2 linked regions of the Macaca mulatta genome follow. The protein of the gene in region 2 interacts with the protein of the main gene of each other region in a biochemical or structural test. Links are inferred from orthologs where the notes say so. Each region holds a gene or a part of one and is shown on either strand. Other genes may lie near its edges.

Region 1 (4,468 bases), on a different chromosome or scaffold from region 2:
CTGCAACCTGCACCTCCCGGGTTCACACCATTCTTCTGCCTCAGCCTCCTGAGTAGCTGGGATTACAGGCACCTGCCACCACGCCCGGCTAATTTTTTTAGTATTTTTAGTAGAGACGGAATTTCACTGTGTTAGCCAGGATGGTCTCAATCTCCTGACCTCGTGATCTGCCCGCCTCGGCCTCCCAAAGTGCTGGGATTACAGGCGTGAGCCACCACGCTCGGCCAGCTGTTGGGCTTTCAAAGTGAGGACACAGTGGGGCACCATGGGGGGCACCAGGGTGGCCTCAGCCGCCCCTGTGTGAAATGCAATTGCCCAGGAGGCTGTGCGTGCAGAAGTGCTCAGAGGCTGCAGAGTGCACGGGAGAGAGAAGAGTGCCAGGAAGCATAACAACAACAAACGTGCAGACCGTGACCCTCATGTGAGGCTCTGGAACCGTTGTGGTTTTCCTTGACTCCCAGGGATGATGCTACCATCAGGTAGCATCGTGTGTCCGCGGGGTGGGAGAGCACTGCTCTTCAACCCCAAGGGCTCACTAGGATCACCTGGGAGCCCAGAAATCAGCAAAGCCAGTAGGCCACCTCCACCAAGGTCACCTGGCTCTAGGATGGTCCCAGCACTGGCCCCAGGTGGCTTAAGATGTGGCCATCGTTGAGGAATCAGAGTACTGTTTGGGAAGGCGGGTGATAGGATGGGGGCCCTGTAGCCAGAAACCCTGGGGGTAGTAACTCCTCCCTTCTGTCCCTGTAGCCAGCGACCTAACCGCACTGGGCCGCCAGCAACTCAAGGCCTATGAGCTGCTTCAATCCCAGCAGCTGGGCAGTGCCTGCCATCTTGTGGGCAACTGGCAAATGTCTGAGAAAGCCAGAAATGTCATGATGGTAGCCTTGTGCTGGGGTCAGTAAAGGGCAAAGACATGCCAGGTGCTCTCCCTGGGGCCACCTCAGGTGGGGCTGAGGTTGCTCGGGCCACTGTCATGAACTACCACAGACCAGATGGCTTAAAAAATGTATTCCTCAAAAATTAGCCAGGTGTAGTGGTGCAAGCCTGTAATCCCACCTACTCGGGAGGCTGAGGCAGGAGAATTGCTTGAACCTGGGAGGCGGAGGTTGTGGTGAGCTGAGATCATGCCACTACACTCCAGCCTGGGCAACAGAGCAAGACTCCATCTCAAAAACAAAAACCAAAAAAGCAAAAAATGAAAATTAGCTGGGCGTGGTAGCGGGCACCTGTAATTCCAGCTACTCAGGAGGCTGAGGCAGGAGAATCGCTTGAACCCGGGAGGCAGAGGATGCAGTGCGCTGAGATTGTGCCACTGCACTCCAGCCTAGGTGACAGAGGGAGTCTCTGTCTCCAAAAAAAAAAAAAAAAAAAAAAAAAGTATTCCTGGCCAGGCACGGTGGCTCACGCCTGTAATCACAGCACTTTGGGAGGCTGAGGCAGGCGGATCTCAAGGTCAGGAGTTAGAGACCAGCCTGGCCAACACAGTGAAACCCCATCACTAGTAAAAATACAAAAATTAGCCGGGCGTGGTGGCGGGCGCCTGTAGTCCCAGCTACTCTGGAGGCTGAGGCAGGAGAACCGCTTGAACCTGGGAGGCAGAGGTTGTGGTGAGCCAGGATCGTGCCACTGCACTTCAGCCTGGGCAACAGAGCAAGACTCCACGTCAAAAACAAAAAACAAAAATTAAACGGGTGTGGTGGTGGGCACCTGTAATCCCAGCTACTTGGGAGAAGAATTGCTTGAACCCAGGAGGAGGAGGATGCAGTGAGCTGTGATTGTGCCACTGCACTCCAGCCTGGGTGACACACAGTGAGATTATGTCGCTTGACCCTGGGAGGCGGAGGTTGCAGTGAGCCGAGATCACGCCACTGCACTCCAGCCTGGCGACACGGCTAGACTCCATCTCAAAAAAAATAAAAAAAGAAAGAAGGAAAAAGAACCAAGAAAGACGTATGGGAACAGACACATAACTCTCCCTCCCAGATAAGCACAACAAAGAGACACAGAAGCAATTCAAGCCTCTGATAAACTCTCTCACCCTGAATCCTTAAAAACTCAGTCTGTAAAAGAGTGTGCCTCTGACCCAACTCGGCCAGAAGGCGCCTCTCAGGTTTGTTTTCTCTAAAATAAACCTGTCTTGACTGGCAAGTCACCTTTCGTGTTTCTTTCCTCTTTCTTTAATTCTTACAACTTTGTCACCCAGGCTGGGGTGCCAGTGGCGCGATCTCGGTTCACTGCAACCTCCGCCTCCGGGTTCAAGCAATTCTCCTGTCTCAGCCTCCCGGTAGCTGGGATTACAGGTGCCCGCCACCACGCCCGGCTAATTTTTGTATTTTTGGTACACCCAGGGTTTCTCCATGTTGCCCAAGCTGGTCTCAAACTCCTGGGCGCATGCGATACGGCCGCCTCGGCCTCGCAAAGCGCTGGAATTAAAGGTGTTTGAGCCACTAAGCTGGGAAACTGTGTTATCATTCTGAGTCCAGCGGAATACAGTGCCCGTCCATAAAAGTGCTCAATGAAGGATGAATGAATGAATGGTTAAGCTCTGAGAGAAATAACCAGGATCGGTGGGCAGGGAAACGTCCCTCTCTGAACTCTAGGGTTCTCATCCGTAAAATGAGGATAAACAACAGTCTCCACCTCACGGGAACTGAACGTATGGCTGGACAAAAAACACTTACTGTAACTACAGTGGCATAAACACCTCCCTTACTCAAAACGCCTTCAACGGCGCAGAGCGAGCGCTGTACGAGTGAGCAGTACCGTAAACTGTTACTGCTCTGGGTTCTGTCATGGGACAGTGATTACTCCTCACTGAACTGTGAAGAAGTGCCCAAAAAACGCGAGAAGAAAAGGGAAAGTTTTTAGATGCAGAACACTGCTCGCAGCCACCAGGAAGCGTCCTCCGCCTCCGCCCCCAGCGTCCCCGCGCCCCTGCGCTGCCGCACCTTCACCCGCTGCGCCTCGTTTATGCACTGCTGGTAGCTGCCGATGTAGAAGGCGTTCTTTACGTCGAACAGCTCATCCACCTCCCCGGAGCCGCCGGACGCCGGGCCGGGGGCCGGAGGCGCCATGTCGCTGTCTTCTCACCGGCTCCTCTTCCTGAAAGACACGTCGGCCGGAAGCAAGACACCTTCACGGGCACGCTGGGAAATGTAGTTTACTTTTTCCGAGTGGCGGCGAAGTAAGCCAATGGGAAGCTCCACAATGATAAGCAAGGGGGCGGGAGACGTAAGTGCGTCACGCAGGGCATCTCGGGAATTGTAGTGTGTTTCTGCAAGCCAATGGGATCCGGGGAAACATGATAAAGATGCGGTCGAGGCTGGGAATGGGCTGAGGGAGCTGGAGAAGGTGGGACCACGCAGGAGGCAGATCCAATAAACAGGAAGAGTTTTTCTCGTGACGTCGTCGGCGCGCGCCGGAAGCGCAGATCACACGGGCCCCCACACGGCTGGTCACAGGGATGTCAGGCTTCGCGGAGCTCGGGCTGTCGTCGTGGCTAGTGGCACAATGTCGGCAGCTGGGTTTGAAGCAGCCCACGCCCGTGCAGCTCGGCTGCATTCCCGCCATCCTGGAGGGTAAGTATGGCTCGGTGCCTTCCCCAAGAGGCGTCTCCGCTCCTCTCGACCCCTTTCCCTTCTCGCAGCCTTTGCTCATTCCGGTTCCACGAGGCGAGGGGTAACCTCCGGCGTTACAGGAGATCCGGGGTTCCGGAGGCCGACTGGACAGTGTTGGCATTTAGCTTGCATGACCGACTCGCTTTATGTCCGTACACAACTGATGTAATCTCTGAAATTTTCATAGTCTCAGCACAGGGAGGGTTTGATGAATGACTAATCGATAGTATCGCAAAATCCTGCAGACCTGGTACTGCTATTTTTATTTTACAAATAGAAGTTGAGGCTGTCAAAATTGCTGGTAGATCCAGGACTCCTTGGTCCTGTGATTGCTCCTCTAGGAGCAGGTCTTCTCTCTGCTTCTCTAGCCCAACCCAGTTTGGCCATTAAAGAGAGGCCCACAGGAAGCCTAAGATGTGACAAGTCAGGGATTAAATAAACAAATGAAGGGGTCAACAGGGAGCACAAGATGCCTATGAGGGAAGGGAATTCTGGGTTCCCCAAGTTCATGTGCTCCTGGAGGGAGTTAGAATGAGGTGGTGGGAAGCTGTGGGCATCTCAGGTCAAATACATATGGGTTCCAGTCCAGCCTGCTCCTCACTGGCTGTGTGTCCTGGGCAGGTCTCTGAAACCCAGTTTTCCTTTCTGTTAAATGGAGATGATAATCCCTTCCTAGGATTTGTCCGTTGCCAGTGGAAAGTGGTCAGTATGCCCAGAATGGAAAAGGCTTACTGGCACACAGGACTTGACGCACAGTGATTGCTCACTAAACGCTTTGTAAGCTGTTGTACACTGTGCCCAGTGGAATGGCTGTCCACACATGGAGGGTATTGATGCTGCTTTGTCCT
Region 2 (4,575 bases):
AATAGCTCACCATCGTGTTCATCAAACTTGTCAATGAGAGTGCACATCCGATAGTCCCACAACTGGATGACCCCATTATGTAAACTCGTCAGGATCCAAGGTCTTTTGGGGTGAAAGCTGAGCCCTGAAAAAAATAGAAAATGATACAATGAGCTAACTAAGCCCCATGATGTCACCTTCTGTCAATTCTGATAAGAAAAAGAAACAGCAAGGTTAATCCTAGGCTCATTTATTCATTCGATGCACTTGATGATTTTTTACTGGATGCCAGACATCATGAATTTTATGTTTGGTACTAGATGTTTGTTATATTCCTTTAAATATTGTTGGGCTTTGCTCTAGGATGCAATTAAGTTACTTGGAATCAGTTGATCCTTTCAAGGCTTGCTTTTAGGTTCTATTACAGGGGGGCTACAGCAGCCTTCATTCTAGGCTTAATCTGGAACCATTATTAAAGCAATAGCCCATCTGAGGTCTCTATTTGAAGCTCTATAATATCAGGAAGTCTTTCCATTCTGGCCAGTAGGAACACAAACTAGTCCCAGCCCTGTGTGAGCTCTGGGGATTGCTCTGCCTTCTCCTTTCCAGTGGTTTTTTGTCAGGTTTTGAATAGTTTTCTCACATGCAGATCAGTACTCAAAGACCCGAGAGGACATCCTGCAGACCTCTAGTGCTCTCTCTCTGCAGCCCCCTCTTCTCCAGTATTTTGCCCTGCAAAATCTAGCATCTTTGCTTCCCCACACTCTAAACTTTTGTCTCCTCAGAAAGAACAAGGGATTCCCCTTTTCACTGAAGCCTGAAAACTCTCTAGGCAGTAATCTATGACAATCATAGGACTCACCTTGTTTATTTCCCTTCTCTCAAGAATCATTTCCCTGCACTGCGTGTCACCCAACGTCTGTGAGCAATGTATGAACCTTTGTTTCATACATTTTGTTTGTTATTCTATCAAGACTGGAAATGGAAGTCCCCAGAGGTAACAACTACTAACAGTTTGGAGTGTACCCTTTCAGATTTTTAATGCAGTTACACATAGACACAGGCCTTACTATTTTATGAAAGTGGGGATCACATTATGATGTTGTTCTGCAAACTTTTACATTATTCTAACAGGCATTTACCTTTGTCCCCCAATTTTTGGCTATCAGAAGAGCCTACTGAAGATACTTCTACACATAATCTAGCCTATTTGCATTATTACTGCTCTAGGCTAAAGAACTGTAAGTGAGATTGCTCAGGAATAGAATATGTGCACTTAACATTTTAGTACATATATTTAAATGTAAAAACACTGTATCAATATACAGTCTCATGAAGTTTATGGAGGTGCCCATTTTGCACACAGGATGTTATCAGCTATTTGTTGTTTTGTTTTATAAATCTAAGACCCTCCCCCCAAGAAAGTAACTTCACTTTTTTTTTTTTTGCATTTCTTTCATTACTAGTGAGGTGGAACTATTTTAATTATTTATTGAACATTTACAATTTTTCTTCTAAATTGTCTATTTTTCCATTAGGTTCTCTTTTTTTTTTCCATTATGATATATAAGTACACTCAACAATGGATGTTTGCCCTCAATTATTACAACATCTTTGTTTTTCCTTCTCTACTGCCCAGCAAGAAATTAGGAGCAGAAAAGAAAACTGAAAGATTATGAAGACCCATTTCACCTACACAGGTCTCAGAAATTCTTAATGGTACCCACCTTTCAAGGTCAAGTTTCCCAAGAGACTTAGAAACTGCTCAGAATATATTCACACATTGAGAGCAGCCTCCACTTTTTGCACTACTGAGTCTACACCAGGTGCTGTAATAAATACATTCCATACTTTCTCATTTTAATTCTTTCTATAAAAGACTATTTTACAGATGAGGAAATAGAGACTTAGAGACCTTAAGTCACCCAAGTCATACAGCTTGTTAGTGGATGTCTCAGGATTCCAAAGCAAGCCCATCTGACTTCAAAGACCAACCACTTCAAAGACTAACCATTTTGTTACGCTGCATCTTACTACATACTCTAGATACTATTTTTTCCAGGTCTCTGGAGACCTTACTTCTCTCTGCCTTTCACATTTTAACATTCTGAGGTTAATACTGAGATCTCAGTATTTGCCCTCCACCCCCAACGACCCACACTCGAGCTCTAGAGTCGCCATACTTAGCAAATAAAAATACGAGATGCCCAGATATATTTGAACTTCTGGTAAGCAAGGACAGACTAAAAAAACTATTCATTGTTTACCTGAAATTCAAATTTAACTGGGTGTCCTGCATTTTATCTGGCAACCCTATCAAGCTGAGACTTTATTGGGGTTATAAGCCTCAAAGTACTACTTCCGGGTAGTGAATAAAGCCGAATGAAGGTACTGATGTTGAGATGCTGCAGCCAAGGCCTCCTTAAGTGAGGTAGCCACTACACGTCTCCAAAAAAGCTACTGACTCGGGTGCAAGTAACAGAGATCGAGACTCAAGCCCCAGGGCCACTCCATATAACACAATCAAAAAGTCAACAGGTCACAGGGCCTTTGGAGCAGAACAATACAAGTTGGGAGCACAGCAAAGAGAGAAAGGGAGAAGAAAGAATAGGGAGGTGGTCTAAGGAATCACCTACAGTGTGGGAGCCACTTTATAGGTAAATCGAAGCCCAAGGACACACCAAAGAAGAGGGGACTGGAGAACCGCTAGCCAGGCCTAACCTCTCTCCCACCCTCCGTCTTCCTCTGGGTCCGTCTAGTGGGCCCACTTCGGCCAGCACGTCTACCCATTTTCTCTTCCCCGGTGTCTGCGCCGCTCTTGACATCCAACCTCCATGTTCCCCTTTTTTTTCTCCACTACCTTTGACCCGCGCGCTCTTGGTCTCGAATTTGGTTAGCATCTCTCAGGTCTCCGACTCCGATGTTTTAATCCGAGCCCCGACACACCCTGCTGCCCTTCGGACGCCTCCACGTCAGCTACCCTCTGCCGCGGTTTCCGGAAGCTCCTGGAAACACGAACTTCCGGTCTGTTGGGCTCCGGGCCACAGAGATGGTGTCAGTGGTAGCCTAGAGAGGCCGCTACCCGGCAGGAGCCGAACGGGGGCTTCCGCTCAGCAGAGAGGCAAGATGGCCACGGCAGGGGGTGGCTCTGGGGCTGACCCGGGAAGTCGGGGTCTCCTTCGTCTTCTGTCTTTCTGCGTCCTACTAGCAGGTGAGGCCTCCCCACCCGTGAGCTCCGTTCTCTAAAGGGAACTCTCCGGATCGGCCCAGCCGCGAGCGCCACTGTCTCCCTTCTGGTTCCTGCTGCCCCTCTGTCCCCCCACCCTGTAAATCCTCTTTCTCTTTCGTTCCCACGACAGAAGTTCCCCCTTTGCCTGGACCTAAAGGTCCCTTCTCCCCCGCAGCATGTCGTGTCGCTTCACTCCCTTCTCTAGGCCTCTTCCTGGACTTCGAACTCGACCCTCTCCCACTTTGTCCAGATGCCTCGTTTTTCCCACAACCCCAGCCACCCACCCCACAGTCGAAAGAAACAGGTGTGAAAGTTAGCTTTCTTCCCCGCGTTTAGACTTTTTGAGACGAAAGCAATCTTGTTCTGTGGGTGCTGTGCGGCGCTTAAAAGGTAGATTTCTTATTTCTTCCTCTATTGGTTACACCCAAAGTCTGTGTCCCTCTGCCTTGCCTCAGGTTTTGTTTTTGTTTTTGTTTTTTTAATCAGTAAAGCAAGAATAAGGTAGGATATGGGTACTCTTAACTGTCCAAACCGTGAAGTAACGATTCAAGGAACTTTTGGCATTTATAATATACTTGACTGTTTGCTTATACGCGTTTATTTACTGATACATGGCTTTTTAGTTGGTCACGCCCTAAAATGCAAATGTCTGTATATAACTATGACTGTGCCTTCCCCTAGTTCACATTGTTTTTAAAGATCCTCAAAGGAGAAACTACAGCTGCCCCACACTGTGGGCACACAAATGACCTACTGATGTTAAATTAACTGACCAGTGTATGTCATAAGGTTTCTCTCAATTCTATTCACACTCTTGGAAAAGTGTCTCAGAAAGTTTTCTTAGCCCAGCACCTTTGTATTAACCGGTTAGTAATATACATACAGGATATACAAGCAGAAGTGTGATCACCTGTGCAACCAGAATTTGGCAAATCTAAGGTCAAACACCTTTCCTTTGACCAAGTTTTCTCTCTTTTAGTGTCACTGTCAATGGCGCTACATGGACTTTTTAATAACCCTTTGAGGCACATAGCTGAGTGCCATGTAGAGCATGTATCTGTTACAATAATGTGCGCAAGAAGTAAGAATAATGGACTTTAACCTCATTTTAGAAAGTGTGATATTGAATGATTTACCCAAGCCATACATCAGGTTAATTACATGATAGAAGCTAATACCTGTGTCTCTCAATTTTTTCTAACACTTTTTATCTTCCAATCAGGTTTGTGCAGGGGAAACTCAGTGGAGAGGAAGATATATATCCCCTTAAATAAAACAGCTCCCTGTGTTCGCCTGCTCAACGCCACTCATCAGATTGGCTGCCAGTGTGAGTTGAGACTGGGATTCATGTTTATGGACATTGATAT

What was found. The genes of interacting proteins can lie anywhere in the genome.
Region 1: the proteins of COPA (region 2) and COPE form a complex in vitro, tested with the Homo sapiens proteins (3 studies listed by BioGRID, with this or other methods). The link is inferred for Macaca mulatta from reciprocal best matches to the Homo sapiens genes COPA and COPE.

The regions. Positions count from the first base shown.
Region 1 is NC_133424.1:19,474,936-19,479,403, forward strand, and holds the start of COPE (coatomer subunit epsilon), read right to left. Parts: upstream 3,117-4,468; 5' UTR 3,078-3,116; coding exon 2,952-3,077; intron 1-2,951. Other genes in the region: putative ATP-dependent RNA helicase DDX49, read left to right, coding at 3,467-3,581. UniProt on the Homo sapiens protein: The coatomer is a cytosolic protein complex that binds to dilysine motifs and reversibly associates with Golgi non-clathrin-coated vesicles, which further mediate biosynthetic protein transport from the ER, via the Golgi up to the trans Golgi network.
Region 2 is NC_133406.1:106,543,784-106,548,358, reverse strand, and holds the start of COPA (coatomer subunit alpha), read right to left. Parts: upstream 2,958-4,575; 5' UTR 2,880-2,957; coding exon 2,840-2,879; intron 125-2,839; coding exon 11-124; intron 1-10. Other genes in the region: NCSTN (nicastrin), read left to right, coding at 3,106-3,190, 4,431-4,535. UniProt on the Homo sapiens protein: The coatomer is a cytosolic protein complex that binds to dilysine motifs and reversibly associates with Golgi non-clathrin-coated vesicles, which further mediate biosynthetic protein transport from the ER, via the Golgi up to the trans Golgi network.